Lonchura striata: one gene and its partners. The protein of the gene in region 4 purifies or fractionates together with the protein of the main gene of each other region. This does not show direct contact. Links are inferred from orthologs where the notes say so. Each region holds a gene or a part of one and is shown on either strand. Other genes may lie near its edges. The genes, in order: CEBPB, PRKCD, SMAD4 and SP1.

What was found.
Region 1: the proteins of SP1 (region 4) and CEBPB purify together in Homo sapiens (affinity purification with western blotting; 4 studies listed by BioGRID, with this or other methods). This does not show direct contact. The link is inferred for Lonchura striata from reciprocal best matches to the Homo sapiens genes SP1 and CEBPB.
Region 2: the proteins of SP1 (region 4) and PRKCD purify together in Homo sapiens (affinity purification with western blotting; 3 studies listed by BioGRID, with this or other methods). This does not show direct contact. The link is inferred for Lonchura striata from reciprocal best matches to the Homo sapiens genes SP1 and PRKCD.
Region 3: the proteins of SP1 (region 4) and SMAD4 purify together in Homo sapiens (affinity purification with western blotting; 4 studies listed by BioGRID and IntAct, with this or other methods). This does not show direct contact. The link is inferred for Lonchura striata from reciprocal best matches to the Homo sapiens genes SP1 and SMAD4.

The regions. Positions count from the first base shown.
Region 1 is NC_134619.1:966,723-973,152, reverse strand, and holds CEBPB (CCAAT/enhancer-binding protein beta), read right to left. Parts: upstream 1,768-6,430; 5' UTR 1,495-1,767; coding exon 520-1,494; 3' UTR 505-519; downstream 1-504. UniProt on the Homo sapiens protein: Important transcription factor regulating the expression of genes involved in immune and inflammatory responses. Also plays a significant role in adipogenesis, as well as in the gluconeogenic pathway, liver regeneration, and hematopoiesis.
Region 2 is NC_134614.1:8,628,283-8,635,824, forward strand, and holds the start of PRKCD (protein kinase C delta type), read right to left. Parts: upstream 3,012-7,542; 5' UTR 2,872-3,011; intron 1-2,871.
Region 3 is NC_134642.1:1,015,974-1,022,997, reverse strand, and holds the start of SMAD4 (mothers against decapentaplegic homolog 4), read left to right. Parts: upstream 1-4,003; 5' UTR 4,004-4,257; intron 4,258-7,024. UniProt on the Homo sapiens protein: In muscle physiology, plays a central role in the balance between atrophy and hypertrophy. When recruited by MSTN, promotes atrophy response via phosphorylated SMAD2/4.
Region 4 is NC_134629.1:8,069,523-8,077,412, reverse strand, and holds the start of SP1 (transcription factor Sp1), read right to left. Parts: upstream 3,020-7,890; 5' UTR 2,982-3,019; coding exon 2,975-2,981; intron 2,540-2,974; exon of another isoform or gene 2,301-2,539; intron 1,992-2,300; coding exon 1,897-1,991; intron 1,328-1,896; coding exon 1-1,327. UniProt on the Homo sapiens protein: Transcription factor that can activate or repress transcription in response to physiological and pathological stimuli.

The DNA of each region.
Region 1 (6,430 bases), on a different chromosome or scaffold from region 4:
AATTGTTCATTAATGCTTCAAATGTAGCAAGAATGCATAGATCCCAAAATATACATATGTATTTTCTTATAGAAATAGATTATTCTTTATAATAAAAAAACTGTAGGAACATCTTTAACAGATTACTCAATCCATGACTGACAGTTACACGAGATTGCATCATGTACACAGCATTCCCAGCCATGCTTAAAGGATTGCATCACTTTGCCCTTGCTCTCCTCTCGCTCTTTTAAATAACCCAGCGCCCAGCAGAGCCCGCCCGGGCCGGGGCCGGGGTCCCCCCGCCCGCCCCGCTGCAGCCCCGGCCCCGCTCAGACCCCGCGCGGCGGCGGAGCCTTCCGCCAACATGTCGATAGAGACAAAAAAAAAAAACAAAAATCCAACAACAACAACAACAACGCAAATGAAAACCAAAGCCGCCCGCCCGCCGCGGGCTCTCGGGCCCTCGCCCCGGCCCCGGAGCGCGGAGCGGGGCCGGGAAGAAGCGGCGGCTCCGCTGCCCCGCCGCCCGGCCGGGGGTCAGCAGCGCGGCGAGGAGGCGAGCAGGGGCTCGGGCAGCTGTTTGAACAAGTTCCTGAGGGTGCTCAGCTCCCGGGAGAGCTGCTCCACCTTCTTCTGCAGCCGCTCGTTCTCGGCCGTCAGTTCCAAGACTTTATGCTGAGTCTCCAGGTTGCGCATTTTGGCTTTGTCGCGGCTCTTGCGCACCGCGATGTTGTTCCTCTCCCGGCGGAGCTTGTACTCGTCGCTGTGCTTGTCCACGCACTTCTTGGGCTTGTTCTTGCCCGCCGGGGCGGCGGAGTAGCCCCCGCCGGCGGCGGCGGACTTGGAGGACTCGGAGGGGTTGGGGGTGCCGGGGGGGCTGGAGGAGGATGAGGTGGACAGGTTCCCGCTGCTGCCGCTCGGCACCGACTGGTAACCCAGGTAGGAGCGCACGGTGCTGCCGTAGGGCGAGGACATGCCCCCCGGTCCCGGCCCCGCGCCCCCTTCTTCCTTCCGGGGCCCTTTGCAAGAGTCCAGGGTCTCGAAGACCGGCTCCACTTTGGTTTCCACGATCTGGGGCGGGAAGCAGCCCTGCAGCCCCCCCGGCTTGTGGCTCTGGCTGGCGCAGGGGTGGCCGTGCCGGGCGAGGCTGATGTAGGTGTAGTCGGGCTTCTTGCCGCCGCCGCTGCCTTTATAGTCCTCGGCGAAGAGATCGGAAAGGAAATCTTGGCCGGCGCCGCTGCTGCACGGAGGCTCAAAGTTGCCCCCTGCTGCTGCCGCGGGAGGCGGCGGCTGCGACGCCAAGGGCTCCAGGTACGGGCTGAAGTCGATGGCTCGCTCGTGGTCCCCGACGGTGAGCTCGGTCATGGAGCGGCCCCCGGCCGCCCGCGGGTGCAGCTTGTTGAGAGCAGCCAGACAGTCCGCCTCGTAATAGAAATTAGCCACTTCCATGGATTTAAAGGCGGGCGGCTGGATGGGGAGGCATGCTGCGTCCCAGGCCACCAGGCGTTGCATGAAAGCAAAGGGGGATGCGGGGAGGAGGAAACGACGCAGGGGACCCCCCCCGGCAGAGGCTCAAGCTGCCGCCGTCAGGGTGGGGGGCTCCAGACCCTGCCGCGGTCTCTGGCCTGGGCACGGCCCCGCGGCGCTGCCCGGCCGGGCTGGATCAGTCCCTGCGGCGCGCCGGGGCTTCACCGCTCCGGCAGCTGCGGCGGGGGCTGGCGCGTCTCCTCCGGACCATCTGGTTCTGGGTCCCGTGTCCTAAAGTCTCTGACTTAGGAAAGTTCCTTTCCCCAGTTATTTATAGGGGCGGTGGATCCCATAGCAACAGGCGCGTCACCGCCTGGCCGCCTGCCACTCCGCACGCTCGGCGCTGCCGGTCCCGGCCCCGGAGGAGGCTCCCGGGGCGGGCGCGCCGGTGCCGAGCGGTGCCCGCCGGGCCGCCCACAGTGCACCGGGCCGGGCCGGAGGGAGGGGCCGGGCTGCGGGCCCGCAGGTGCGGGAGGTCGGGGCTGCCGCGGCCAGGGCCGGCCGGGACGGCAGCGGGCAGCGGGCAGGGCAGCGGGCGGCCCCGGGGACAGCGTGTGCCGGGCGCTGCCGCTGCCCCGTGCCCGCCCGGGCTCTGCCGGGGCCCGCACAGCGAGGGGCTGGCAGTGCCCGGGGCTGGCAGTGCCCGGGGCTGGGCACAGATCGCTCCGCTTCCCTAGGGGAAGTCAAGGCAAGAGAGATTTTTCCAAGTTCTTTTGGCAAAGAAGGGGGAAAGCTGCACACCAAAGCCGGATCCCGTTACTCGGCGTCCCGGGCTCGCTTTGGCGAATCCCACTGGCACAGAAGTGCCACAGGGACGTGCCCAGAGCCGCTGGGCAGCGGCGAGCCCGGGGCCGAGCGATGGGGCTGGAGCAGGGCACTGCCCCGGCCTCCTCCTGGCGGCCGCAGCACCGGAGCCCGGCCAAGCCAGCGCTGCCTCCCGGCGCTTCCAGCACCCATGGGGGCCCTAGCGTTTGTCTTGGCATATTTGCTCTGCACGATGTGGGGCAACTGTCAGGGCACCCACGGGAGCCGGGAGCAGGGAACCGGCTCTGGAGCCAAAGGAGACGGAATGGGGGCCAGAGGAGAGTGAGGTTCGTGCATCAGAGGGTGGAATCCAAAAGTTTTGAGATTTGCGGGGTAAGTTTGGGAAGGAAGACTGAATCCCGATGTCCGTTTTAATTAAAGACACCCACCTTGGGAATCAAACTTATATTTTCACTCTCTTACTCCCACATTTACCTGTCTACAAGCTGATGATTCATGCCCAGAATAAAGGACATTAATTTAAAACAAAACATATAATTAAAGGAAGTAGGAGTGTCCTCCCTCAGTAAAGAAGACCTAGCACTGCAGGGAAAATGACACTGCCTCTTAGAATAATGTGAAGCAATCCTGCGGTGTGGGAAATATTGTAACGTTAAGCCAGAGGAACAGGTATTGCATTATATGATTCAAACAGTCAACTGTTCTTAATGTTCAAACCTCAGAACTCTGAAAAGAGGAAGAATTTAAGAATCAGTCAGTGGATCATCAGACTTTTTCTTTCTCTTTTTTTTTTATTTTTCTTTTCACGTTTTAATAGGATTTATTTGTTTGTTTCCATAACAAAAGCTCCCTAACAGGTTTTCAGGCTTCAAATATTTCTAGTTCCATCTTTATCTACCAAGTTAATCTTTGGTGAATGCACTAGAGATTAAGTTGGAGCTGGGCCTGGCCAGAGAGCTGGGTCTGGAGATTGTAGTTGGAGCCCATACCTTCATAAATACAAACATCTGTATTGGGTGCAAATACTGGCAAGCTGCAGTGAGCCAGGGCTTGTTCTTCTGGCTGTTTACTCCCTCATCCTGTGCCTTTATCCTGCATTCTGATCTGGCAGTTACATCCAGTGGCTGCCCTAACTGGCCCTTCCAACCGAACTCTTAAAAACCAGTCTGGTGTTTCCTACCCCAAACCGTCCCAGGGCCCCAGGGCAGGAGCCCTCCTGGGCACTGACCCGCTGCAGGCACAGCTGGTCTGCCTTGGCATCGCCCCGACGTGTCCACAGCTCGCCGTGGTCCTCAGCTGAAGCCGAATGCTAAAGCTGCTCGGTGAAGTTCTTGAAGAGATTTTCACGACGGTTTTGGGGATCTGCGTTTGCCCTCTTCAGATTTCTGCCCTGCCCTCGGCTGCTGTGCAGCAGAAAGCTGTATTCCTGCCGGGGTTGACCTTCCCTGACAAAAGGCAGTGAAACGTCCGCGCCGCTGCCGCGCGGAGCAGATCCTGCCGGCCCACGCTGAGTAATCCTGCAGTCACCCCACCGCGCCAGCCGGGCGGCAATCCAGGCCGCTGCCCAGCCTGTCCCCTCCTTCCCTCTCCCCCTCACCTCCCTGCTCTGCCTGGATCCCTTTCAACTTCCTCCAGCTCACCTCAAATCCCAGCATCCACTCTCCTGGGGCCAACGTCCGCTCCCAGCTTCTCATGGGAACCTTGTTGGCGGGACTAACCACGGATCCAAAACCCCAGCGTTCGGCAAGCAGGTTTGGGGCTAACTCTGGTCTCTTTTAAATTATTTCTGCACTTGTCACAACAAATGCACGGCCACGAGTGGGGATTTGGAAATGGGAGCAGGTGCAGAACGAGGCTCACACCGCAGGACTGAGCCGAGGTCTGGGCACACAGGGCTCCGTGCCTGTGAGTGCCTGGCTCGGCCTTGCCAGATGTGCAGAGACTGCTAATAATTGTCCTGAAAATTGGCCTGAAAAGCTCCTCAGAGGTGCTTTAGGCAGGGAGATGCAGACATTCCTGGTTAAGGGACCCAGGCACTGGCAGCAGCCCTTCAGCTTGTCTCCCAGCAGAGCAATTTTCATTATAAAAGCAGCACTTCTGTGAAAAGCACCTTCCTTCTAGTGATTTCATAATTTCTTTTTTTTTTCAGAACTATTCAGCTAAGGGAGGAGACAGCAAAAGTCCCAAATTACTTAGTAAGAATATAACATTTTTGAGAAAAAATTCTGATGCAATAGCATCCAGGTTCCTCTACATTCATATGTAAAACAATCCAGACAAAGGGAGGGGAACAGAAGGAGACCAGCATGGTGAAAAGGTGGAGGGAAGAATCTCATCCTCACTGCTCATCTCTGTCATGAATTAAACTCTGCTCTCTCTTTTTGTATTGTGGAAGCCTCAACTTTGCAGCTCAGACCCACAGTAAAGCATCGCAGAGGAATTTTCTTCCTGGAAATTGTCTTCTTTTCCAGGATTTCTTGCAAACTTTCCAGTTCACACACTCCAGGTCTACAGCAGCTGCCTCTGGAACGACACCAGCTTTGGGGAGATGCTGTGAGTTTAGTGGGGATGGCTCAGACACTGGAGTGTTTATCAGAAGGTCTCTGGAAAGAGCCTGGCTGACATTTCTGATGTTTCTTGCTCAGTTTTGCCCCATTTATTATTCCCCTGGCAGTCGCTCTCAGCAGGTCAGTAAGATCAGAGCTGCCTGGTGCTGGAGCTGCTCGTGCAGCAGCAGAGGGGCAGAGCAGGGCAGCGGGCAGGAGGGCGATGCCAGCAGCCGGCAGCCACAGCAGTGCCTGAGGTGCTGCGGGAGGGGTTGGAGGTGAGGAGGGGAACGGGAGGGACCCCAGAGCAGCGTCCCTGCAAACAAGCACGGAAGGTCTCTGGGGGGTAGGAGGGGACCTTGCCTAAAAGAACAGTGTTGCAATAAAGGCTGTAGAATAGAGAAGTAACATTGAAATTTATTTCTGAGCATGTTGAGCCCTTTTTTCCCTTCTGCCTAGCCCCAGGTCTCTCTTTATTCAGCTGCACACCATATGCCAACAGCAACTCAGCAGCTGCACCTGGCAGAGCACAGGTTTGAAACCATTGCTCTTCACTTGCTGTTCTCTGCTGTAAAACAACAGCCCTTGATGAATGCCAGGCAGGGACAATGTCTCAGCTCAAGGGAGAGGCTGGCTCTCCATCTGTCTGCCCAGCTCAGGCCAGGCTCGAGACTTTGCTTCATTTGAACACGAAAAGGGATTGCCACAGCTTTGCCCTGCTGCCCCGTGGCTGGTGCCGCGCTGGCAGTCCCAGGGGCAGGCTGTGTCTGTGGCCTCCTTCTCTTCTTTTGTTACAGACCGGGGTCCTGCCCCCAGCTCCCTCACCCTGTTCCCGTGGGACACGGTGATGGGCTGGGACATGCTTTTTGTTGGTCTTCTGCTGATTTTCTCTCACCTCTGACCCAGCAGGCTTGGCCTTTGCAGCGCTGCGTTGCTCAATCCCCTTTATCTCCACGCTGCTCTTTGCCCCAGCGGGTGAGTGGAGACGACACCTGGAGACTGACTCCAGTGGGACAACATCAGCCAAATGCCCTCCCGACCAGACTGAAAACTTTCCAGAGCAAACCTGAGGTCAGAGCAGCCACCCTGTGGCGCTGAGAAACAAGGAAAGGAGGAAGAGTCAGGACACCAAGGCCCATGGAAGCACAGGCCACAATCTCCATCCTGCATGGCAAAGTCCCTGCAGGAGCTGTCTGTTGGAAGGATGTGGGCTGGCAGTCTGAGCAGAGACAGTGAGAGGTGGCTGTATTTTATGAGTAGCCCGTTTCCTTGTGCTCCATTAAAATGGCAGAGAAGTTGCTGTCCACTAAGTTTCAAAAGTTCTCTGTAATTGCCTGACATTTCCTGGGTAATTGCAGCCTCCTGCTTTGATGAATTTGTTACAGGTCATGCATTTATGACATCTGGAGTATCCAAGCTTTCAAAAGATCCATCAAGAGAGATGAATTCTACCCTTCCAGGGTACCCTACAGAGTGTCAGAAGTTCCTAGTAACAGGACTTGGTAATTCATTTAGGAAATTTCTAAAAGAGAACTCTTCTGCAGTCCTGAGGCTGTGGGACAGACAGCCTGAACTCCATGGGGTGTATGGCAAGGGGCAACATAAAACAA
Region 2 (7,542 bases), on a different chromosome or scaffold from region 4:
ACAGCCCCACCTCCAGGCACAGCTGGCACTGAGAGGTGGGGAAGGGGCCCCTCTCTGTGGGAGCAGCAGCAGAGCTGAGCTCCAGCTGTGGCTGGGCAGAGGGCAGATTTGTGCCTCGGCACAGAGGCAGGCTGACAGTGCAGCCCTTCAAATGGGAACAAGGATGGACGGTTAATTTAAGCTATTAGGCCCTAAAGTACTCACCAGAATCACGGGCTGGTAAAGGTTGGTAGGGACCTTAAAGACCACCCAGTTCCACCCCCTTGGCACAGGCAGGGACACCTTCCACTAGAGCAGCTTGCTTAAAGTCCTGTTCAGCCTGGCCCTGAACACTTCCAGGGATGGGACTTACTCTGAATGGACTTTACTTGTAATGACTGCGGCTTTTAGACGTCAAAATAAACTCTGAAGCCTGAAAGCTTCTATGCTTTTCCTGGGAAATCAGTTACTTTAGTAACAGACGGCATCTTTCCAAGATTTATTGTTATTTCCTAGATCTATATAGCATCAATTAGCCAAGTTATCTTTAAGGGATTCTTCTAAAGATTTCTTTTTAAGAAATGTACCTAGAAAATGTAAGTTATAAGTTAGAAATAGTTTCTAAATAATTCCTTCTGTACAGAGTATCTTTTCATCTATGTTGTGTGACCAAAAAGTAAAAATTATTATGCTATTTCACTATTCCATTCAATTAAAAAAACAGGACCCTACTGTATGATTATGTCTAATGAAAAGGTGGGTTTTAATTAATGAAGCACAAAATGGCAAAGAAATTAACAATGAGCTCTTTTCTGGTGATAACAATACGAGCATCTTCCTGATTAATTATGTCACACATATTGCCTGAGTAGAATCACCTTATAACTTTCCCATTACCCACAGAGAACATCACATCTGTGTAACTGAATATATTTTTCTGTATGTTTGTGTCAGCCACTGAGTGGCAGCAATTCCTTCATACCTAAATCTGAATTATGAGATACAGGATGAAAATCTCAAAGGATTCCCAAATCTAAATTCTTTTGCGCTGCCCCTAAGTTCTTTTGTGTTTAGCAGTGCAGGAAAATAATAACAACTAGTGAAATATCCTATTGCACCTTTGAATTTTTTAGCTGAAGTTTCAAAAATAATGCACTTCATTCTGAAAATCATATGTCCTTAGAACTTAGATGTATTCAATTTTACAAAACATAGCAAAACTGTGTGGGTCAAAGAAACTGAAAATGCCAGCATTTAATAATTTCTTAAATTAAAGCACACACCTGTATTTTATTATGAAATCTAAGATGAGGATCAGAAACATTAAAAAAAAAAACCCTAAACCCATGTTTTGCAGGTTTGTTTCCTTTCCTTAGTATTTGTAGGTTTCCACAGCAGTGACATGGGGTGACTGAAATCTATCAGTCCAAAGACACACAGCTCATTTTTAACACAGCCATTTTCAAAACTAAAATAAACAGGAAACCCTGCATATACACTTAAAAAATGCTTATGAATTACTGCTTAACCACTTAAGAAGCAGTTCTTCATAGTGTTCCTGCTCAGAAATCTATGTTGCTTACAGCTTCCTATGTGATTAGCACAGTGCTGCATGGCATTATTTGACAGACTGAAAGCTAAAGAGTTAAGTTGCTATTACATTGTTAATAGACTGTTGACTGTACAAGTCTGGAGCAAAAAAGATTTAAAAGGAACAAAACACACTGCAAGGGTATCAAGGATTTTTATACTGGTTATTTGTAGAGATACTAAACATGGCAGTTCAGGCTTTAAACAAGTCTCTAAAACTAGGTAGAGATCTAGTACTAGAACTGATTTTCCCACACCCATCTGCTCTGCAGAGTCAGTTCTCTCCTCGGACATATGAAAGGATGGGATACAGGGCAGTGTCATCCTTGCACATAAACCTCCTAGGTCCAGATCTACACTCTGCTCTCTGCTTCAGTGCTACTTGGACAATCTAGAAGTGAAGTGGTGCAACAACAATCAGGGCCCGCAAGTAAACTAATGTCAGATGTAACCACAAAATGCTGTAATCCAATTATTTTAATATTTCATGCTCTGATGCAAGTGGGGAATTCTCTAGCAATGAACTGAAAATTGTTTTTTAATAGATGCACGGCTGGCATGTACGTACACAAAAGCATCAGGCATTCCTGCTCCTTCATTTCTTACTGTCTGTCGCCATTCAGCTGGAAACTGACCATTCGAAAGACTGTGCATTTCATCTGCCCAAACTCACTGCAGCACGGAGGCTGAACAGAGAGTCAGGTGGTAGAAAAAGTTGGTGGTATCAAAGTCGTTACTTCTGCCGGGAGGAGACTCCACGCTCCTGTCAGGGACGGACCCCGGGGTCTCGCCGCCCGCCCGCACGGGGCACAGCGCTGTGCCCGCCGCAGCCCCCGGGCTCGCCCCGCTCCCCAGCGGCCGAGGGGGCTCGGGCGGGCCGGGGCCGCAGCCCCATCCCCACACCCAGTATAGAGGCTCGGGGGAGGCAGCCCCGGGCCGGGGGCGCAGCCCCATCCCCGCACCCAGCATGGAGGCTCGGGGGAGGCAGCCCCGGGCCGGGGGCGCAGCCCCATCCCCGCACCCAGCATGGAGGCTCGGGGGAGGCAGCCCCGGGCCGGGGGCGCAGCCCCGCCGCCTCCCGCCCCAGCCGGCGCCGGGGCGCTGCCCGGGGCACACGGGGCACGGCGGCTGAGCCCCGGCACCCTCGCTCTTCCTCCCGCTCGCTCTGCGCGCCGGGCGCCCCACGGAAGCCGGGCGGGCCGGAGGGAGCCGGAGCCCGTCTCGCTTCCTCCTTCACCCCAGGCGGGGCAGGAACTGCCGGGCGGCGGCAGCGCCGCGCCGGGGGCAGGTACGGGCACTCACCGCGTCCGGAGAGCCGTCGGGAGCCGCGGCCACCGCCGAGTTTCGGGCGCTGTCCCGGGAAACAGAGAGCGAGAGCGAAGGAGTGCGGGCGGAGCGGCGGGCGGGAGGCAGCAGAGTGTGCCCGGCACGGCCCGGCCCGGCCCGGCCCCGCGCTCCGCCCCGCCCCGGCGCGGCTGCGGCCACGCTCACCTGCTCCTGCCGCCGCCCCGCCCCGAGCTGCCGTGCCAGGCGCCGGCCGTCCCTGCCGGGCTCCCCGCGGCTCGTCCCCGCCCTGCTGCCCCTGCTCTCCTCTCCCCTGGCGCTGGCCGCGTGTGGCAGCGCCCGAGCCCTCAGGGGGAGCCCCGCCCGAGGCTCGGTGCCGTGCCGAGGGAGGGAGGGGCCGCGGCAGCGCTCTTGTGGTGGTTGGGGTTTGGGAGGTGTTGTTCCGCTGGTCACCCGGACTCGGGGAAGCACCGGGGTTTGAGGTGCCGGAGCTCGGAGCGAGCCCCTGCCCGTCTGCAGGGCTGAGCTGTGCTCAGGTGTCCTCAGCCTTTACTGCGGTTTTGGTTAAAACATTCCTTAATGGCTTAGAAGCCACGGCCGAACCGCGTAGCTCTGCGGTCGCTGCCGTCGCCTGAGCGAGCTCACTTCAGAGACCTCAGCCTTGGAGGCCTTCACGGGGTCATTTTGGGTCCCAGCCGGGGCTACCCCAGTCCGTGCTCTGCTCTGAGTGATGGGGCTCGGTGTTTCTTCAAGTGCTGTAAGCGTTTGTTTTAAAATGAGGTATTTTAGGGATGGGGTGCAGCACAGGAATGGGTAAAGTGTAGGAACCAGAGAAAACACCTTTATACTTCAAGGCAGACCTTTGTCATCACTTTTTAACTCGCACAGGTCATGTAGAATTGCTCTCAGGTTTTCATCTTAAATGACCTCATTCAGCTCTAGCTGAAAACGGTGATGAAATTCCCAGTGTTTCTGTGGTGCTGTGGTAACTGGGTTTTTCTCTGGGCAGGTGCCAGCCCCTGGTGTGCAGTGCGGATGTCACCACTGCAGGGGCTGTGACCCAGCTGTTACATTGCTGCAGAGTCCATTCTGAAACGCCAAATTCCACCCATGTGATGTCCAGCTTCTTTCCAGAACATTTCACTTGACAGTTATAAGGTAATGTCAAAGTTCCTTGCTTGTGCTGTCTGACATCATCTTGGAAAGGCTATAATAGGCATATAAATCAGTCAATAGTTAATTTATACTTGAAGAGTCTAATTTGAAGAAATATTTTTCAAAATTGAGAGCTCTAGTAGATATATTACAGTTTGGGTGAAAGCAAAGGAACAGAGTCATCTGAGGTAATTTCCTTTCTACTTCTGCTGCAAATTAAACTATGTAGTATTTTGTACAGATACATGTTCTTACGCATGATTAAGTGTGGGGTGTTGTTTTTGGCTGGAACATTTAATAATATTTCTCTGTTTGGGGAGAGAATGTAATCTGATTAGCTATAGTGCTGTAATAAATTGTATGAGGACCCTCATTTAAAATCATATAGGCTGCTGTTATGCTGAAATCTGGAGAAGCTTTATATGCTTGAGCAGTTAATGAATGTCATGTAATAAAAGCAAAACTAAAACTAGTTTGAATGAGAGAAGAAAAAGCAGAAGCTAATTATAGTGAGGAATTTTCCTCATTTCAATATGTCCAGAGAAGTTTGGAAACAGTGCTTTAAAATTTATTTTATTTAGCTTCATGCTCTTTGAGCATTTAATGGCATGTAAATGGTCAGAGAGAGTCCATTTTCATTTGTGACCTGACCATATAATGTTGCAGCAGACCATTAGTTAACTACTGCTGTATTTCAATTATTTAGAGCATTACTTTTGTCCAAGTCTTTCTGAAACAAAGAGTCATTTCTCATTTGGACTGTGGAAAATTTTGCAAGACCTAAAGAGCTTTGCCTCTCACATCTTTGCTCAGACAATGGGCTCAAGTTGGATTAGGGCTGAGTAAAGATGTAAAAATTTGATCCACAGGAAATGAAATGCGAGAGTCTTCTCAGCTATTAATGTGACTTTAGAAATTTGAGGTGTTTCCTGGTACTGAGACTTTCTTGCTGCCTATTTTCTGTAATTTTTCCTATACAACTTAGCTGTGCTTAATGCATGGAAATGCTCCTACAGCTGGAGAGAGTCTTTCCTCAGAATAGATTTTAATGCAGCTCAGAAGGCTTTATTAAGCCATTTTATGTCCAGTGGATTTGAGAGGGGGATGAAAATCAGTTCTAAGTGAACATCCTTTAGCAGTACTCTCTGTCAGCTTCTAAGTAAATAGGAAGAAATACTAGATTTCATAGTGATTACAGGGTAACTATTGGAAAGGAAAAGGGCATTACTGTCTCTGATCCATTTTCCTGAAATGTGCCTTTGGATATTTCAAAAAAAGAAAACAGTCTCAAGCTGAGTTAAAACATGTCATCTCTTTGGTAGCTGGATAGACATCCCAATAATTCCCAATCCCATGGTAAATCACTGCTTTGTTCCAGGGGATCTCTGGGGAGAAGATGAACTACCAGGGCCTCCCACAGCTGGATTTTCTCTTGTATTTTCACATAGAGAAAACCTGCTTTACCTGGGGTCACTTAATTTTTGCCATATGATAGGATGACAGTAAGGGGTGATGTGACTTTGAACATGCACATTAGAAACAAAAGTTAGAGATAAAATTTTCTGCAGCAAATATAAACAAAAATTTTCTAGTGGAAGTTAAGAACTGCTTCTCTGAAGATTTCTGAGGCAGACTGGTGCAAAATTGCTTTTCACAAGTGTGTAATAACCTATTGTGAGCTGAAAGACTATATCTACAGTATCTGTTACCTCCAGCAAACAAACCTGATTTTAATCCTGATGGTAGATACCTCATTTATGCAAAGATGAAGCCTTTTGCAAAAGTGTAATTTCAGAACAGAAAACAGTCATGGCCGTTGCTGCCATTTTTTTTTTCACAGCCCCACTTTGTAGCAGGACTTCACTGGTCTCTCAGTCCCAAGCCTAACCACCAAATGCCGGCTCTCATTTCCTCTTTTCTGATAGTGGTGGGAGGTGTGAAGAGTCTGGTGGTGGTGGGAGTTTCCACCCATAACCTTCTACACGGGTCTGTGGTCTATTGTGTAGATTCACTTTTTGAAGTGTTCTGAGCATTGTTCATTGTCTTCAGCTTTGCCTTAAGGTTGAGATGAGAGGCTTGTATTCTCTGTCAGGCTTTTCCTCCAGGTTTTCATGCTTTTCTCTGTGAAGGGCATGAACTCTTTATGGATTAGCAATGAGACAGATACTGATTTGGTCACGTGAAGGCCTGGGTGCCATAAACTTGGGCTGATGTCCAGGTGAAACAGGAATAAGGCTGCCTTTCCTGACCTTGTAACTTTAAAGATTCTTTTGATAACAACATACATTAATTTCTACTGCTTATCTTTGCAGTTTTTTATACTGATTAAGGAAGAGTTTTTTCTTTGAGTTGGTCTGCTTGCCATTTTTTTCAAACTTGGAGCTGAGTTGTGTTTTTCCTACTTTGTCAGGGTTCGCTTGTATGGATGTTGCATGTGCCTGTGCAACAGGCAAGAGCACTCTGCAGGGGAGAGACTGTGGATAGGCACTACACCTAGGAGAAATTATCATCTCTGTGCTTCATTTGCTGTGTTTTAGAGCTTGAATATGAGTAATATTCTGTGCCTAGCAGAGTTTAAGTGGAATGATTTTTTTTTTTTTTTTTTTTCCTGGAGTATGAGATGTAGAAGTTAGTGGCTGTGCTGGCGAAGATCCTGGTGTCAGATGCAATCATGTGAATTTCAACATGTTTGTGTAACTAAGTTACTGCAGAGGCTTTTTTGTTATCAGAATAGAACCTTAAGAATTTGAGATTAAAATGAGATATGCTTATATCCCGACCACTCCAAAGTTCTGATCATTTGAAGGAACTTTTATATAAGATTCATTTATAAACCAGACAAGTGAATAGTTTCCTGACTGTTTTGCTGAAATGCCTGCTTAGAGCATTGCCAATTCTTGTTATGTTTGGTGCTTTTAAAGCCTTATTTCCTTGAGGAAGTAATTGGATTAAAATCTTGGGCTTTTTATTTTTTTTTTTGTCTTTCTTAAATAAAACCTATTTTTTGTGTTTGTCCAGAAGGTACATGCACATGTCATCTTGGAGTTCCTAAAGGATTGAAAATCTGGGCTACGTATAAGAGGAACACAAAGTCTCTTGAAGTTTTACAAATATCCCCATGCTGCCTTCTGTTGTTGAGGGTAGGAGACTGATCCCTGCATTTTGAACATTGGAGACTGTAGTTAGTTTTTAAGAATAATTGAAATTAGAAAAAGGTTTTTATGGTGTTTGCTGCCTACACCCCCTTACATTTGGTTTCAACATGCCAGCTGCCAATGTTGATTCTGAGCAATGTAAGTGTTCTACTTCCCCTTATGACAGCTTTTTTTTGCTGTTAGTTAATATAGATGGGAGAACAAGGAAGTGTATGTATTGCAGGAAGCAATTTTCTTGCTCACCACAGTCCTATTCACAGTTGGTTTTATATTCCTCTGAGAAAACCGTGCTGTGAAAGAACACAAGCAATGTTTTCTGATTTCTTGGTTGGTTTTTCATCTCTTTTGAAAAAAAAATGATTTTTGGTCTTAATTTAAG
Region 3 (7,024 bases), on a different chromosome or scaffold from region 4:
GTGAAAAGTTTTGTGACAGCATTTTGTTGCTGTTGTGGGGGTATTTTTTGTGTTTTTTGGGGATTTTGTTTTGATTTGTTTGTTGCTGTTATGATTTTGTTTGTTTTTTGTGTTCTTTTTCTAACAGGCTTTGGAAAGAGTTGTCTCTCGCTGCGCTACGTTTGTCTGTAAGGAGCAGCGGTTAATTATCCGCCTGGCGTGGTTTTGGTTCCAGAAATGTGCGTCCTGCCGAGCCGGCAGGGCTGGCCCAGCTCTCCCTGAAATCCGAGGATTGGCGCGGAGCCACGGGGACAGCTGAGCGCATTTTGTGTTATGAATGGCGAATTATTAATTTGTGTTCATAATTAAATTCATTATTGTTGTTATTAACAATAGGAACACGGCGATGGGCAGCTCGGGGCAGTGGCTTTGGAACAGAGGTGTTTATAAACACAGGGTGCTCCGGGGCACTGCCAGAGCCCAGCTCACCCCTCTGGCTGCCCTGGCTGTCCCCAGACCCTGGCACAAGACAAAAACACCCGTGGCTTTGATTTTAGCCCATGGAAAAAGCTGCCAACTCTGTGTGAGGAGTTACAAGCCACAAGGGTTTGAGTGGCGTGGTGGTTGAATTAACACAGGGTGAAAAAGTAGAATTTTGGGGGTTTTCCAGTGGGGTTCAAGGGGACAAGATGGAGGGATTTGAGCATGTCCTGGCCTTCTCCTTCTCCTCCTTCTCCTTCTCCTTCTCCTTCTTCTTCTCTTCTCCTTCTTCTCCTTCTCCTTTTCCTTCTCCTTCTCCTTCTTCTCCTTCTCCTTCTCTTCTTCTCCTTCTCCTTCTCCTTCTCCTTCTCCTTCTCCTTCTCCTTCTCCTTCTCCTTCTCCTTCTCCTTCTCCTTCTCCTTCTCCTCTTCTCCTCCTTCTCCTTCTCCTTCTCCTTCTCCTTCTCCTTCTCCTTCTCCTTCTCCTCTTCTCCTCCTTCTCCTTCTCCTTCTCCTTCTCCTTCTCCTTCTCCTTCTCCTTCTCCTTCTCCTTCTCCTTCTCCTTCTCCTTCTCCTTCTCCTTCTCCTTCTCCTTCTCCTTCTCCTTCTTCTTCTCTTCTCCTTCTTCTCCTTCTCCTTCTCCTTCTCCTTCTCCTTCTCTTCTCCTCCTTCTCCTTCTCCTTCCCTTCTCCTTCTCCTTCTCCTTCTCCTTCTCCTTCCCTTCTCCTTCTCCTTCTCCTTCTCCTTCTCCTTCTCCTTCTCCTTCCCTTCTCCTTCTCCTTCTCCTTCTCCTTCTCCTTCTCCTTCTCCTTCTCTTCTCCTTCTCCTTCTCTTCTCCTTCTCCTTCTCTTCTCCTTCTCCTTCTCCTTCTCCTTCTCCTTCTCCTTCTCCTTCTCCTTCTCCTTCTCCTTCTCCTTCTCCTTCTCCTTCTCCTTCTCCTTCCCTTCTCCTTCTCCTTCCCTTCTCCTTCTCCTTCTCCTTCTCCTTCTCCTTCTCCTTCTCCTTCTCCTTCTCCTTCTCCTTCTCCTTCTCCTTCTCCTTCTCCTTCTCCTTCTCTTCTCCTTCTCCTTCTCCTTGCCCTCCATGTCTTGCTGTGCTGGTGACACTTTTCTGTTGGTTTAAGGTACAGACAAACTGTCCAACATAAATCATAGGTACTACAAACTATGTTTACATTATTGTAAGAGGTAGTTTTTGGTGTAGAATGTAAACACCATCCCAAGGGCGGATTCTGTGCACAGTGACCTGCTGGACAGAGCGCAGCTCCTTGAGAAAGAACGCTGCAGATAATAGAGAATTAACAACCTCGAGAAACCAACCCTATGCATTCCCACTCCTGCTTCGGCTGGGTGGGCTGGAAGAAAGGAATTTTGGAATTCTCGGGGTCACCTCCGCTGCCAGAGCCCCGAGAGCTGGGATGCGATGCAACGCTTGTGCTGCAGGGGTGGTTCTGCACGGCACCCAGCCCCGATGCAGCGGCCCTGCAGCTCCTGCAATGAAAACCAGCCCCGACATTGTCCCCAAGCTCACAAGGCCTCTCCAAGAGCTGAGTTCAGGGTGGCACTGCCAGGTTCACCACACAAACCCCAGCACTTCCGCTGGGTGTGAGGAGATCTCCTTGGCTGAGGGTGCAGGTGGCTGCAGGCAGAAGGGGCTGTGCTCGTTATCTCTTTAATTAGTGCTAATTCAACCCGCCCCTGGCACGCGGGGTGCTGCTGTGGGGCTGGCCAAGGCGGCAGGGCCACGAGTGCCCGGTGTGGGACACCGCCTTGGGCTGGAGATCTCATCTCCCAGCCAGAATTCCTCCAGGAAAAGGTAATTTGTGCCTCACCCGGCGAATCCTGGTGCGGAGAGGCTGCAATTACACCTAGGGATGACAAATGCAGCAGTATTATATATTGCTTTTCAACCTAAGGCCTTCAGCGTGTGGAAGTGACTGTAAATGACTGAACAGCAAGAGCAGGAAAAGTTTTGACAGGGCAACACAACAATTTTTTAAAATTCCCATTATTCTTGGTTCTCATTAGGGCGGCTGTGACAGCGCGCCAGTGCCTTGCCAAAATCCTGTTGGACTCAGGAAAAGCACATCGCATTTTTCCGGGGGCACAGCACATCCTGCCCTGTGTCCAATGCCAGCTCCACACTGCGAGGGCAGGAATGTCCAAGGCTTCAGTTCTAAAACAGCTTTTCCTTTCCAGCCGAGCTGGCCTGGGGAGATGAGGAGAGGGGAGGCAGAGCTGCGGGCAGGGCTGCGAGTGCCAAATTCTGGGAGAGTTCCTGAGGAGCTGGGAAGGGGCTGGAGAGTTCCTGAGGAGCTGGGAAGGGAATGGAGAGTTCCTGAGGAGCTGGGAAGGGAATGGAGAGTTCCTGAGGAGCTGGGAAGGGAATGGAGAGTTCCTGAGGAGCTGGGAAGGGAATGGAGAGTTCCTGAGGAGCTGGGAAGGGGCTGGAGAGTTCCTGAGGAGCTGGGAAGGGGCTGGAGAGTTCCTGAGGGAGCTGGGAAGGGGCTGGAGAGTTCCTGAGGGAGCTGGGAAGGGGCTGAGCCTGGAGCAAAGGAGGCTCAGGGGGACCTTGTGGCTCTGCACAGCTCCTGACAGGAGGGGACAGCCGGGGGGGATTTGTGATCTGTTCCCAGGGAACAGGGACAGGAGGAGAGGGAACGGCCTCAGGCTGGGCCAGGGCAGCTCAGGGTGGAACCAGCAGGAATTTCCCCATGGAAGGGGGCTCAGGAACTGGAACTGCCCAGGGAGGGTTGGATCCCATCCCTGGAGTGCCCAGGGAGGGTCCGTGTCCCGCAGAGCTCGGGGGTGCTGCCAGGGTGGGGAAGGGATGCTGCCCGCACTCCTGGTTCCCTGGGGCTATCCCGCATCCTGCATCCCGTGGGATGCTGTGGGATCCAGTGGGATCCCGTGGGACACTCTGGGATCCCGTGGGATGCTGTGGGATCCAGCATAATGATGGGGGCTCCATTGGGATCCCGTGGGATTCCATGGGATCCATAGTGACGCTGTGTGATACAGTGGGATGCTGGGGGTTCCCGTGGGATGCTGTGGGATCCTGTGAGATCCCGTGGGATGCAGCGGGATCCAGTGGGACCCAGCTGGACCCTGTGGAATCCAGTGGGATGCTGTGGATTGCTGTGGGATGCTGTGGAATCCAGTGGGATGCAGTGGAATCCCTTGATATCCCGTGGGATGCAGTGGGATCCCGTGATATCCCGTGGGATGCAGTGGGATCCCGTGATATCCCGTGGGATGCAGCGAAATCCCGGTTCCCCGGAGCGCAGCCCGCCCGCTCCGCTCTCCCCGCGGCGCGCCGCCCGCCAACCACAAACACAACGCGCCCGCCCGCGCAGGCGCCGCGGGACCCGGATGTGGCGGATGCGCGGCGGGACCCGGATGTGGCGCATGCGCGGCGGGACCCGGATGTGGCGCATGCGCGGCGGGACCCGGATATGGCGGATGCGCCACGGGGCCCGGATGTGGCGCATGCGCGGCGGGACCCGGATGTGGCGCATGCGCGGCGGGACCCGGATGTGGCGCAGGCGCGGCGGGACCCGGATGTGGCGCATGCGCGGTGGCAGCGGCCCGGACGTGTCGGGACCAGCGGCGGCGGCGAAAGCGACCGGAGCGAGCGGGACACGGGCACGGGCACGGGCACAGCACCGGCACAGCACCGGCACCGCACCGGCACCGACACCTCGGCAGCGGCAGCGGCGCCGGGGCTGCCCCGAGCCGCCGCCGCCGCGCCCGGGCCGGAGGCCCCGGCCTGCCCGCGCCCCCTCGGCGGCCGCGCCCAGGTAAGGCCGGACCGGCCGGGCCCGCGCCCGGGACCCTTCCCCGAACCGCGGCACCGGCCCGGCTCCCCGCGGGACGGCCCCGGGGCCGGAGCCGGGACACCGCGCTGGGCCGGGGAAACACCGCCCGGCCCGGAACAAAGTTTGGGATGTGGGAAGGGAACGGGCGAGCAGACACAGCGAGCAGCGCAGAGTGGAGAGCGACCCAGGGATCCTGTGCCCAGAGTGACCCAGGGATCCTGTGCCCACACTGACCAGGGATCCTGTGCCCAGAGTGACCCAGGGATCCTGTGCCCAGAGTGACCCAGGGATCCTGTGCCCAGAGTGACCAGGGATCCTGTGCCCAGAGTGACCCAGGGATCCTGTGCCCACACTGACCAGGGATCCTGTGCCCAGAGTGACCCAGGGATCCTGTGCCCACACTGACCAGGGATCCTGTGCCCACACTGACCAGGGATCCTGTGCCCACACTGACCAGGGATCCTGTGCCCACACTGACCAGGGATCCTGTGCCCAGAGTGACCCAGGGATCCTGTGCCCAGAGTGACCAGGGATCCTGTGCCCAGAGTGACCAGGGATCCTGTGCCCAGAGTGACCCAGGGATCCTGTGCCCAGAGTGACCAGGGATCCTGTGCCCACACTGACCAGGGATCCTGTGCCCAGAGTGACCCAGGGATCCTGTGCCCAGAGTGACCCAGGGATCCTGTGCCCACACTGACCAGGGATCCTGTGCCCACACTGACCAGGGATCCTGTGCCCAGAGTGACCCAGGGATCCTGTGCCCAGAGTGACCAGGGATCCTGTGCCCACACTGACCAGGGATCCTGTGCCCAGAGTGACCCAGGGATCCTGTGCCCAGAGTGACCCAGGGATCCTGTGCCCACACTGACCAGGGATCCTGTGCCCAGAGTGACCCAGGGATCCTGTGCCCAGAGTGACCAGGGATCCTGTGCCCACACTGACCAGGGATCCTGTGCCCAGAGTGACCAGGGATCCTGTGCCCAGAGTGACCAGGGATCCTGTGCCCAGAGTGACCCAGGGATCCTGTGCCCACACTGACCAGGGATCCTGTGCCCAGAGTGACCCAGGGATCCTGTGCCCACACTGACCAGGGATCCTGTGCCCACACTGACCAGGGATCCTGTGCCCAGAGTGACCCAGGGATCCTGTGCCCAGAGTGACCAGGGATCCTGTGCCCAGAGTGACCCAGGGATCCTGTGCCCAGAGTGACCCAGGGATCCTGTGCCCACACTGACCAGGGATCCTGTGCCCACACTGACCAGGGATCCTGTGCCCAGAGTGACCCAGGGATCCTGTGCCCAGAGTGACCAGGGATCCTGTGCCCACACTGACCAGGGATCCTGTGCCCAGAGTGACCCAGGGATCCTGTGCCCAGAGTGACCCAGGGATCCTGTGCCCACACTGACCAGGGATCCTGTGCCCAGAGTGACCCAGGGATCCTGTGCCCAGAGTGACCAGGGATCCTGTGCCCACACTGACCAGGGATCCTGTGCCCAGAGTGACCAGGGATCCTGTGCCCAGAGTGACCAGGGATCCTGTGCCCAGAGTGACCCAGGGATCCTGTGCCCACACTGACCAGGGATCCTGTGCCCAGAGTGACCCAGGGATCCTGTGCCCACACTGACCAGGGATCCTGTGCCCACACTGACCAGGGATCCTGTGCCCAGAGTGACCCAGGGATCCTGTGCCCAGAGTGACCAGGGATCCTGTGCCCAGAGTGACCAGGGATCCTGTGCCCAGAGTGACCCAGGGATCCTGTGCCCAGAGTGACCAGGGATCCTGTGCCCACACTGACCAGGGATCCTGTGCCCACACTGACCAGGGATCCTGTGCCCAGAGTGACCAGGGATCCTGTGCCCAGAGTGACCCAGGGATCCTGTGCCCACACTGACCAGGGATCCTGTGCCCAGAGTGACCCAGGGATCCTGTGCCCAGAGTGACCAGGGATCCTGTGCCCACACTGACCAGGGATCCTGTGCCCACACTGACCCAGGGATCCTGTGCCCACACTGACCAGGGATCCTGTGCCCAGAGTGACCCAGGGATCCTGTGCCCAGAGTGACCAGGGATCCTGTGCCCAGAGTGACCCAGGGATCCTGTGCCCACACTGACCAGGGATCCTGTGCCCAGAGTGACCAGGGATCCTGTGCCCACACTGACCCAGGGATCCTGTGCCCACACTGACCAGGGATCCTGTGCCCAGAGTGACCAGGGATCCTGTGCCCACACTGACCAGGGATCCTGTGCCCACACTGACCCAGGGATCCTGTGCCCACACTGACCAGGGATCCTGTGCCCACACTGACCAGGGATCCTGTGCCCACACTGACCAGGGATCCTGTGCCCACACTGACCAGGGATCCTGTGCCCACACTGACCAGGGATCCTGTGCCCACACTGACCAGGGATCCTGTGCCCACACTGACCAGGGATCCTGTGCCCAGAGTGACCCAGGGATCCTGTGCCCAGAGTGACCAGGGATCCTGTGCCCACACTGACCAGGGATCCTGTGCCCACACTGACCAGGGATCCTGTGCCCACACTGACCAGGGATCCTGTGCCCACACTGACCAGGGATCCTGTGCCCAGAGTGACCAGGGATCCTGTGCCCACACTGACCAGGGATCCTGTGCCCAGAGTGACCAGGGATCCTGTGCCCAGAGTGACCCAGGGATCCTGTGCCCACACTGACCAGGGATCCTGTGCCCAGAGTGACCCAGGGATCCTGTGCCCAGAGTGACCAGGGATC
Region 4 (7,890 bases):
CTCCCTGCATGGGGGCCAGCGTGATTGTCTGCGCCTGGGGGTTCTGCACCTGCAGGTTCTGCAGCTGGATGGTCTGCCAGCTCACCTGCCCGTTGGGACCCACCGTGGGCGTGCGGATGATGATGGGGCCGGAGTTGGGCACGGCTTGGAGCTGCAGGTTCTGCAAGGTGTCTTGGGAGATGGCTTGAGTGGCAAAGGTCTGCCCAGACAGCGGGGTGGTCTGGAGGGCTTGGATCGTCTGCCCTCCTTGGACCAGCTGTGGCTGGATCAGGAGCTGCTGCTGCTGCTGCTGCGACTGCTGACTCTGATCCCCCTCCTTCTGCTGCCCCGGCTGCAGGGCCACCCCGGACACCGGGGTCTGCAGAGAGTCCGAGCTGGGGACGCTGCTGGCCCTCTGGGGGGTCTGTGACTGCACGTTGGTGCCCACCGTGGCGCTGGTGGAGAAATTCATGACGCCCACGTTACTGGTGGTGGTGGTGGTGGAGTAGCTGTTGGCGTTGGTGAAGAAAGCGCCCGAGCTGGCCTGGGATGTGGCCGTGCTGCCCGAGCTGCTGGCAGCCCCCGAGGTGGCCGGCTGGGAGCTGCTGTCCGGCGAGCCCGAGCTGCTGAGGGTGCCCGTCTGGGACGTGGGGGCCAGGCTGGCGGCCACGCTGTTGACCGGCAGCAGGGTGATGTTGCCGTTCAGGGCCACGGGCACGTTGGCCACGTACTGGGTCTGCCCGGAGAGGCTGTTGTTGGCCAGCCCCACGCCCTGGATGGGCACGGCCTGCTGCAGCAGGTTGGGCATGGCGATGAGGTTGCTGCCGCCCGCACGGCTCGTGATGATCTGCTGGTTGGAGCCGGGGATGATCTGCAGCTGCCCCGAGGCATCCTGCTGCACGTTCACCTGCGCCGGGGTGGTGGCAAACTGCAGCTGCTGCCCGTCGATGGTCTGGAACTGGGGGATCACCTGGTACTGGATGTTGGGGATGACGCCCGGCAGGCCCGTCAGCACCTGCTGGTTCTGCAGGCCGGACGCCGAGGTGACCACGTAGGGCCCGGTGCTGACCGGGCGGCTCTTGGAGGCGTCGCCGCCGTTGCTGCCGTTGCTGCCCGGCTCCTTGGAGCCCGTGGGGGTGCTGGAGCCTGCCGAGATGATCTGCCAGCCGTTGGACGACTGGGTGAGCTGGGCGGCGGCCGCGTTCAGGTCCAGCTCGCCGCTCCCACCCTGCTGGCCCTGGGAGCTGTTGGAGTTCTCATTGGGAGACTCGATGCGGCTGCAGGTGGCTGCCAGCAGGGCCAGCGGGGACGGCTGTGACTCCTGGGGACGAGAGGAGGAGTTACGGGGCTGGGAGGCGGCCCGAGGGGCAGGCCCGGAGTGAAAAAAAAAAAAAACAACGGGGAAACAAAAAAAAATAATTAAAAAACCAACTTAAGAAAACAGGGAGGAGCATACTCGGAAAAGATAAACACTCCTTCCTGAACAAACCCACCCACAGCCGGAAAAATACAACTGCCAGGCACAAGGCTGACAGGCCGGGACAGCCTGAACCCACACGGAAAAGCCTTTTGGGAGGGAGCCTGCCCGGGAAAGCCAAGAGAGGAGAGGGCTCCTCCACTGCCGAGCCGGGCAATCCCCCTGAGGCACGACGAACCCCCAGGAAGGAGGGTCATTCCCGGGCTCCCCGAGCTGGAGACGGGCCAGCGGGGGCCGTGGTGTCACCGGGAGCAGGGGAACTGCGTGTTTCCGAGGAGAGCCGGGGAGGAGGGGAAGGCACCGGCGCTGCTTGGCAGCGCTCACCCTCCTCTTCCTGCCCGGGCTGAAACGCTTGCCCGGGCCCGGCAGACAGCTCAGCCCGGGCCTGGACTTTGCCACGGGCTCCCCGGGGCCAGCGGGGCCGATCCTCCCCCACTCACCTGCGTGTCCCCACCGCCGGCGCTGCTCGTGCTGCTGGCGTCGCCTTCGCCCTTGTCGGGCTTCACAGCCGACATCTCCTCGGTGCTCTCTTGGTCTGCGCAGGAGGGAAGGGACAGCCCCGGTTAGGGACATTTTGGGGCAGGGCAGCGGCACGAGGCTCGGCAGGGCCAGGCAGGGCCCGGAGGGGACACGGCGGGCTGGCTGCGGGGGGACCACGCGCTGCCGGCGCCGCCGGGAAGGGGCTGCGGAGCGCGGGGAGCTGCCAAAGAGGAGCTGGCAGCGGGACAGGGGGGGAGGTCCCGGCCGCGCTCCAGGGCCCGGCTCCTCCCCGGCCGCCCGGGACACTCCCTGGCCCCCGCCGAGGAGCTCCCCGGCGCTCCCGTCGCCCGGCCGGGGCACGCACCTCCCGCCGCGGGATCCCCGGCCCGGGGCTGCCCGCCCGCGGCGCCCCCAGCGCGGGGGGCTCCTCTCCCACCAAGTCCTCGCTCTGCCGGCGCTCAGCCGCCTCCTCATCCTCCGCCGGGCACCGGGGCTGCGCCCCGCTGCTGCCGTCACCCCAGCACCCCTCACCGGGGTCTGCACCGGGGACGGGGCGCGCAACGCCCCCGGCCGCTCGCTCCTTCCCGCGGCTCCCGCACGGCCCCCCCGCCCCCGGCTCCCGCATCCGCCCCCGCAGGGCGCCGTGCCCGGCTCCGGGGGAAAGCCCCCGGGCCGCTGCGCCCGCAGCCGCCCACCCCCGCGGCCTCCCCCGCCGTCCCCGCGCCCCCTCCCCCGGGATCTCGGCCGCCCCCCCCCGCCCCCAGCCCCGCTCCCCGGGGCCTCCCCATCACTCCCCGCCGCCCCCTCCTCCGCTCCAGCCCTGCCCGGCGCGGCCGCCGGTCCCTCCCCCGAGGCCTTCCCCCCTCCCCCGGGTCCCTCCCCCGGCAGGTCCCCCCGGCGCGGCGCGGCGAGGCCCGGCCCGGCGGGGCCCGGCCCGGCGGGGCGGGGCCGCCTCTGGCCCCTCCGAGCGGGCGGGCGCCGCCGCCTGTGCGTGTGCCCGGGGCCCCGCGCGGCGCTCGGCCCCGGCCCCGTCCTTACCGCTCATGGTGCCGGGGCCGGGCCGGGCGCGCGGGGCGGGGCGGGGGCGCGGGCGGGCGAGCGGCCGAACCCGCCGGTGCCGCCGAGGGGCTGCCGAGGGAGGGGCCGCGCGCCGCGGCCGCAGCCCCGCGCCCCGCCCCCGCCGCCCCCGCAGCCAATGGGCGCCGCGCGAGCGGCGGAGCGACGGGCAGCGCGGCCAATGGGAAGAGAGGGCGGTGCGGCGCGGGGGGAGAGGAGGGCGGGCGGTCCCCGCCCCCGGCACCCCGCCCCGTGGGGGAGGGGGAGCGCGGCGGGGCGGCGGCCAATGGGGGCGCGGGGGGGAGGGGGCGGGCGGCGGCTCAGCCAATCGGCGCCCGCGCGGGCTCGCAGGGAGACCCCGTATGGGCGCGGCCGCGGCGGCGCGGGCCGCGGCGTGATGAACGTGCGCCGCCGCCAATGGGGCGCGGGAGGCCGGGCGTGGCGGTCACCGGCAGCGCCCCGCGCCAACCGGCTGCGCGGGCCGCGCCGCGGGGCGGGAGAGGAGCCGATAGTGATGGTAGCGGCCGCTAATCCGAGCGCGGAGGCGGCAGCCGCGGCGCGGCCCGCAGCCAATCAGAGCGCCGCTCGGTCTCAAACGGGCCAATGGGCGCCGCGGGGGGGCGGGGCCAGCGGCCGGGCTGCGCCCTTGGGGGGACGGCGCGGCGGATGGCGGCGCCGCCATGTTGGGCTCGGCTCCCTCAGGGCCGGCCGCGCTCCCCGGGCCCGGCCGGGGCTGTCCCCGCCTCGGTACCGCGGGCTGCGTGCGGCTCTTCCCTCCTCGAGTCCCCGCTCCGTGCCGCAAGACGGCTCGGCCGTGTCGCGACAGCCGCCATGGCGGCGCGACACGTCCTCAGGAGCTGTGTGAAGCCCAGAGCCCTGTCACGACATCGCCCTGTCCCGACACAGCGGGCAGCCCGGCCGCCCTTGCCGTGGGAGCGCGGCCTGGGGGCTTTGGGGCCCAGATCCTTCATTTCACAGCAAAAGGGGCGCTTTGGGGGCGGCAGGGACAGCGAGGGACACGGCCCGGCCTTGGTTTCGCTTTCCACCGTCAAAATCGCCCCCCGTGACCCTCCCATTTCCCGCTGTTTTCGGCCCAATTCCCACCCCGCAGCCCGGGAAGGCCCCGCGGCCTCGGCCCCGCACCCGACGGGGCTTGGGGACAACCTGGCTCTGACCCTGGCCCTTCCCTGTCCCTGCCCTGTCTCTGCCTTATCCCTTCCCTTCCCTGTCCCTGCCCTGTCCCTGCCGTGTCCCACTCTTGTCCCTTCCCTGTCCCCATCCTGTCCCTTCCCTGCCCTGTCCCCCTCTTGTCCCTGTCCTGTCCCTGCCCTGTCCCCATCCTGTCCCTGCCCTGTCCCCCGGACCATGGGGGTCACTCGGTGTCCCCTTGTGACCCGCGATGGTGGCACCTGGGGTGGTCACCGGGACTGTCCCCGTCCTGCCACCGGAGCTGAGCCCGGGGGCTGCGCTGGGCTGGGGGGTCGAGGGCAGGTCCTGGCCCGTCAGACCCCCCCTCACCCCGTTATCCCAGCCGGGTCCTTGTCCCGGTGACCCCCTCCGGTAACTGCCCCCTCTGGGGACACCCATGGCCCCCCAGCCCCGTCGGGCCTCCTCCAATTAACACCCCCAATTAACCCCTCCCTGCCCCGGGACCCCTCCCCCGTGTCCCCGCGCGCCCCCCGGTGGTCGCGGCCGGGCGGTGCCGCCCCCGGGCCCGAGGCTTTGCTGCCGCCTGGCGGGGGCGCCACGGGCACCGGCAGTGTCACCGTGTCACCGGCAGTGTCACCGACAGTGTCACCGAGTGTCACCGGCAGTGTCACCGTGTCACCGGCAGTGTCACCGACAGTGTCACCGACAGTGTCACCGGCAGTGTCACCGTGTCACCGACAGTGTCACCGACAGTGTCACCGTGTCACCGACAGTGTCACCGACTGTCACCCGCCATGACAGGACCCGGGCACCAACGGTCACCGACTATCACTGACAGTGTCACCGACTGTCACCCACCACAGTGGGACCTGGGCACCGACTGCCACTGGTCCTGCCCTGGCACCAGCACTGTCACTGGTCCTGTCCTGGCACCAGGAGCGTCCCTAGCAGTGTCCCCCGTCGTGTCGTGCCCCCAAGGGTGTCCCCAAAGCTGCCCTGTCCTGTCCCACACAGTGCCTCCATCCCTGCCCTGTTCTGTCCCCATCTCTGTCCTCAGCCCTGTCCTGTCCCCGGGGTTCTCACATCCGGGTGCTGTCCTGTCCCGTGTCCCCAGAAGTGTCCCCAACCCTGCACTGTCCCTGCGCTCCCTCTGCTGCTGTCCCCAGGCCTGTCCTGTCCCCATCGTGTCGCTGTCCCCGCCTCCCCCTGGCCGGGGCGGCTCAGGGCACGGGGACAGAGGAGCCTCAGCCTTGGACTGGGGGCAAACTGGGAGCACTGGGGCGGGCCGGGGGGGGCAGCGGGGTTAGCCTGGGGTGCCCCACCCCCGCTGCCACCCCCCGATTGTCCCTCTGGGTCCCCCCCTCCCCCGGCAGGTCGCGGCCGCGGAGGAATCAGGGCGACGCCGGGCGACTCCCAGCAATTTTGGGTTGGGAACCGCAGAAATGCAGCGCGGCGCGAGCCAGGGCGGATCGGCCCGGGGACAGCGACGGGCGGGGGACCGGGGGGGGAGCACGGGACCGGGGGGTCACAGCCCCGGGGGGACCGGGGGGGGACACAAGGCACCGGGGGCTGAGACACCCGGGGCATCCTGGGGGGCTCAGGGCTGGGGAGGGGTCGCTGCAGGCTGGGGGTGGTCCCAGGGTCAGGGGGGTCCCTGGCAGCGTGGAGGGGTCCCGGGATATTGGGGGAGGGGGTGTCCAGGCGTGGGGGGAGTCCCTGGCAGCTTGGGGAGCAGGTGGGGTACCCCAGATTTCCATGGGAGGGTTTCGGCAGCTTGGAGGGGACAGGGGGCACGGTGGCAGCTTGGGGGGCTCCTCTCGCAGCCTGCGGGGGTCCTTCAGCAGCCGGAGGGGGGGCCAGGCCCCCGGTGCCGCCCCCGCGGCTGCCGCTGCCACCGCTCTGATGTGGCTTCGGCACCGCAGCGCAATGGGAGCCACATGGCGGGGGGGACACGGGGGGAGCACACGGACCGGGGGGCGGGCTCGGGGTGCCCGCGGTGCTGGGGGCCACCGCTGTCCCCCCGGGAGCACCCTGTACCCCCGGGACCACCCTGTCCCCCCGGGGCACCACTGTCCCCCCAGGACCACCCTGTCCCCCCGGGGCACCCTGTACCACCGGGGCACCACTGTACCTGTCCCCCCGGGATCACCCTGTACCACCGGGGCACCGCTGTCCCCCCGGGGCACCACTGTACCACCGGGGCACCGCTGTACCACCGAGACCACCCTGTACCCCCGGGGCACCACTGTACCTGTCCCCCCGGGACCACCCTGTACCTGTCCCCCCGGGACCACCCTGTCCCCCCGGGGCACCCTGTACCACCGAGACCACCCTGTACCCCCGGGGCACCACTGTACCTGTCCCCCCGGGACCACCCTGTACCCCCGGGACACCGCTGTCCCCCCGGGAGCACCCTGTCCCCCCGGGACCACCCTGTACCCCCGGGACCACCCTGTACCTCCGGGACACCACTGTCCCCCCAAGGCCACCCTGTCCCCCGGGGCCTGCCCGGGGTCTGTCCCCGGTCCGTCTGTCCCCACCGGGGGTCCGTCCGGCTCGGTGCCCGTGTCTCCCCCCCCGCCCCCCGCAGTTATTTCCAGGGATAATTCCGGGATAATTAAAGGGTGGGAGGAAACACCGGGGCCGCGGGCGCAGCTCAGCCCCGGGGCCACCCTGCGCTGGCTTCCCCGTGGGTGGGAGCCCCCCAGCCCCACTGCGGGTGCCCCTCTGTCCCTGCAGGTCCCTGTCCCCGTCCAGCCCCGTGTCCCCACACGTCCCCCGGCTCCTCCTGCCCCCCACCTTCCCCCCGCTTTCCTCCTGCCCCGCAGACCCTCCCTGTGCCCCGCCTTGCTGAGGGGCATCTCTGGGATGCCCGGGAGGGCTCCGAACACCGGGTGCCCCCCGTGGGTGGTGCTGGGTGGGGGGAGCTCGGCCCAGTTCCGAGCCCTCGGAGCCTCCGCCGGTCCCCCCGGTCCCGCGGGGCCCGTGGGCGGCCGTGGCCGGCGCACCCAGCGCGGGGGCTGCGCTATTTCGGGGCCTCCGACCGCAAGGGAAACATCCGGGGGCCGGGGAGGGCGGGCGGGGCAGGGCCGGGCCGGGGGGACACGGGGGACACCGCGCCAGGTGAGGGGTGGGGGGACGCGGGGATCCCCGAGCTGGTTCCGCTTCCCCCCCCCGACCCCGAGGGGCTGCGGTGCCCCCGCCGACACCGCGGGGATCGGGGGGGACAGCACTGCCGGGACCCCCGCACCGGGCACGGAGCGTTTCCTGGCCCCGGGGACCGGGATGGGGACAGGGACACCTCCGGCCCTGCAACCCCTGTCGTGCTGAGACCCCCCCAAGACTCATCTCAGGGGGCTGAGACCCCCCAAACTCGTGTCATGGTGGAGCTGAGATCCCCTCAGATTTGGGACAGAGCGGCTGAGCCCCCTCAAATTCGTGCCAGCTCCGGAGCCACGCTGATAAACGGGGGAGGGATGGGAAGGAGGGATGGAGAGGAGGATGGAGGGAGGGATGGACAGACGGACGGTGGCTGGCCGGCTGCCCGTGGACGGAGCCCCCCCGCTCCGTGTCCCCCCCGCCCTGGCGAGGTCCCGGCGTCCGGCCGGGTATAAATACCGGGTAATTGCGGGGGCCCGGCGCGGCCGCGGGGCCGTGGGCGGCCGAGCCCGGCGCCGCCCTGTAATCAGCCCCCGCCGCCGCCCCCCCGCGCGGCCGCCGCGCTTTGAAGGGTCCCGGGGCACACGGGG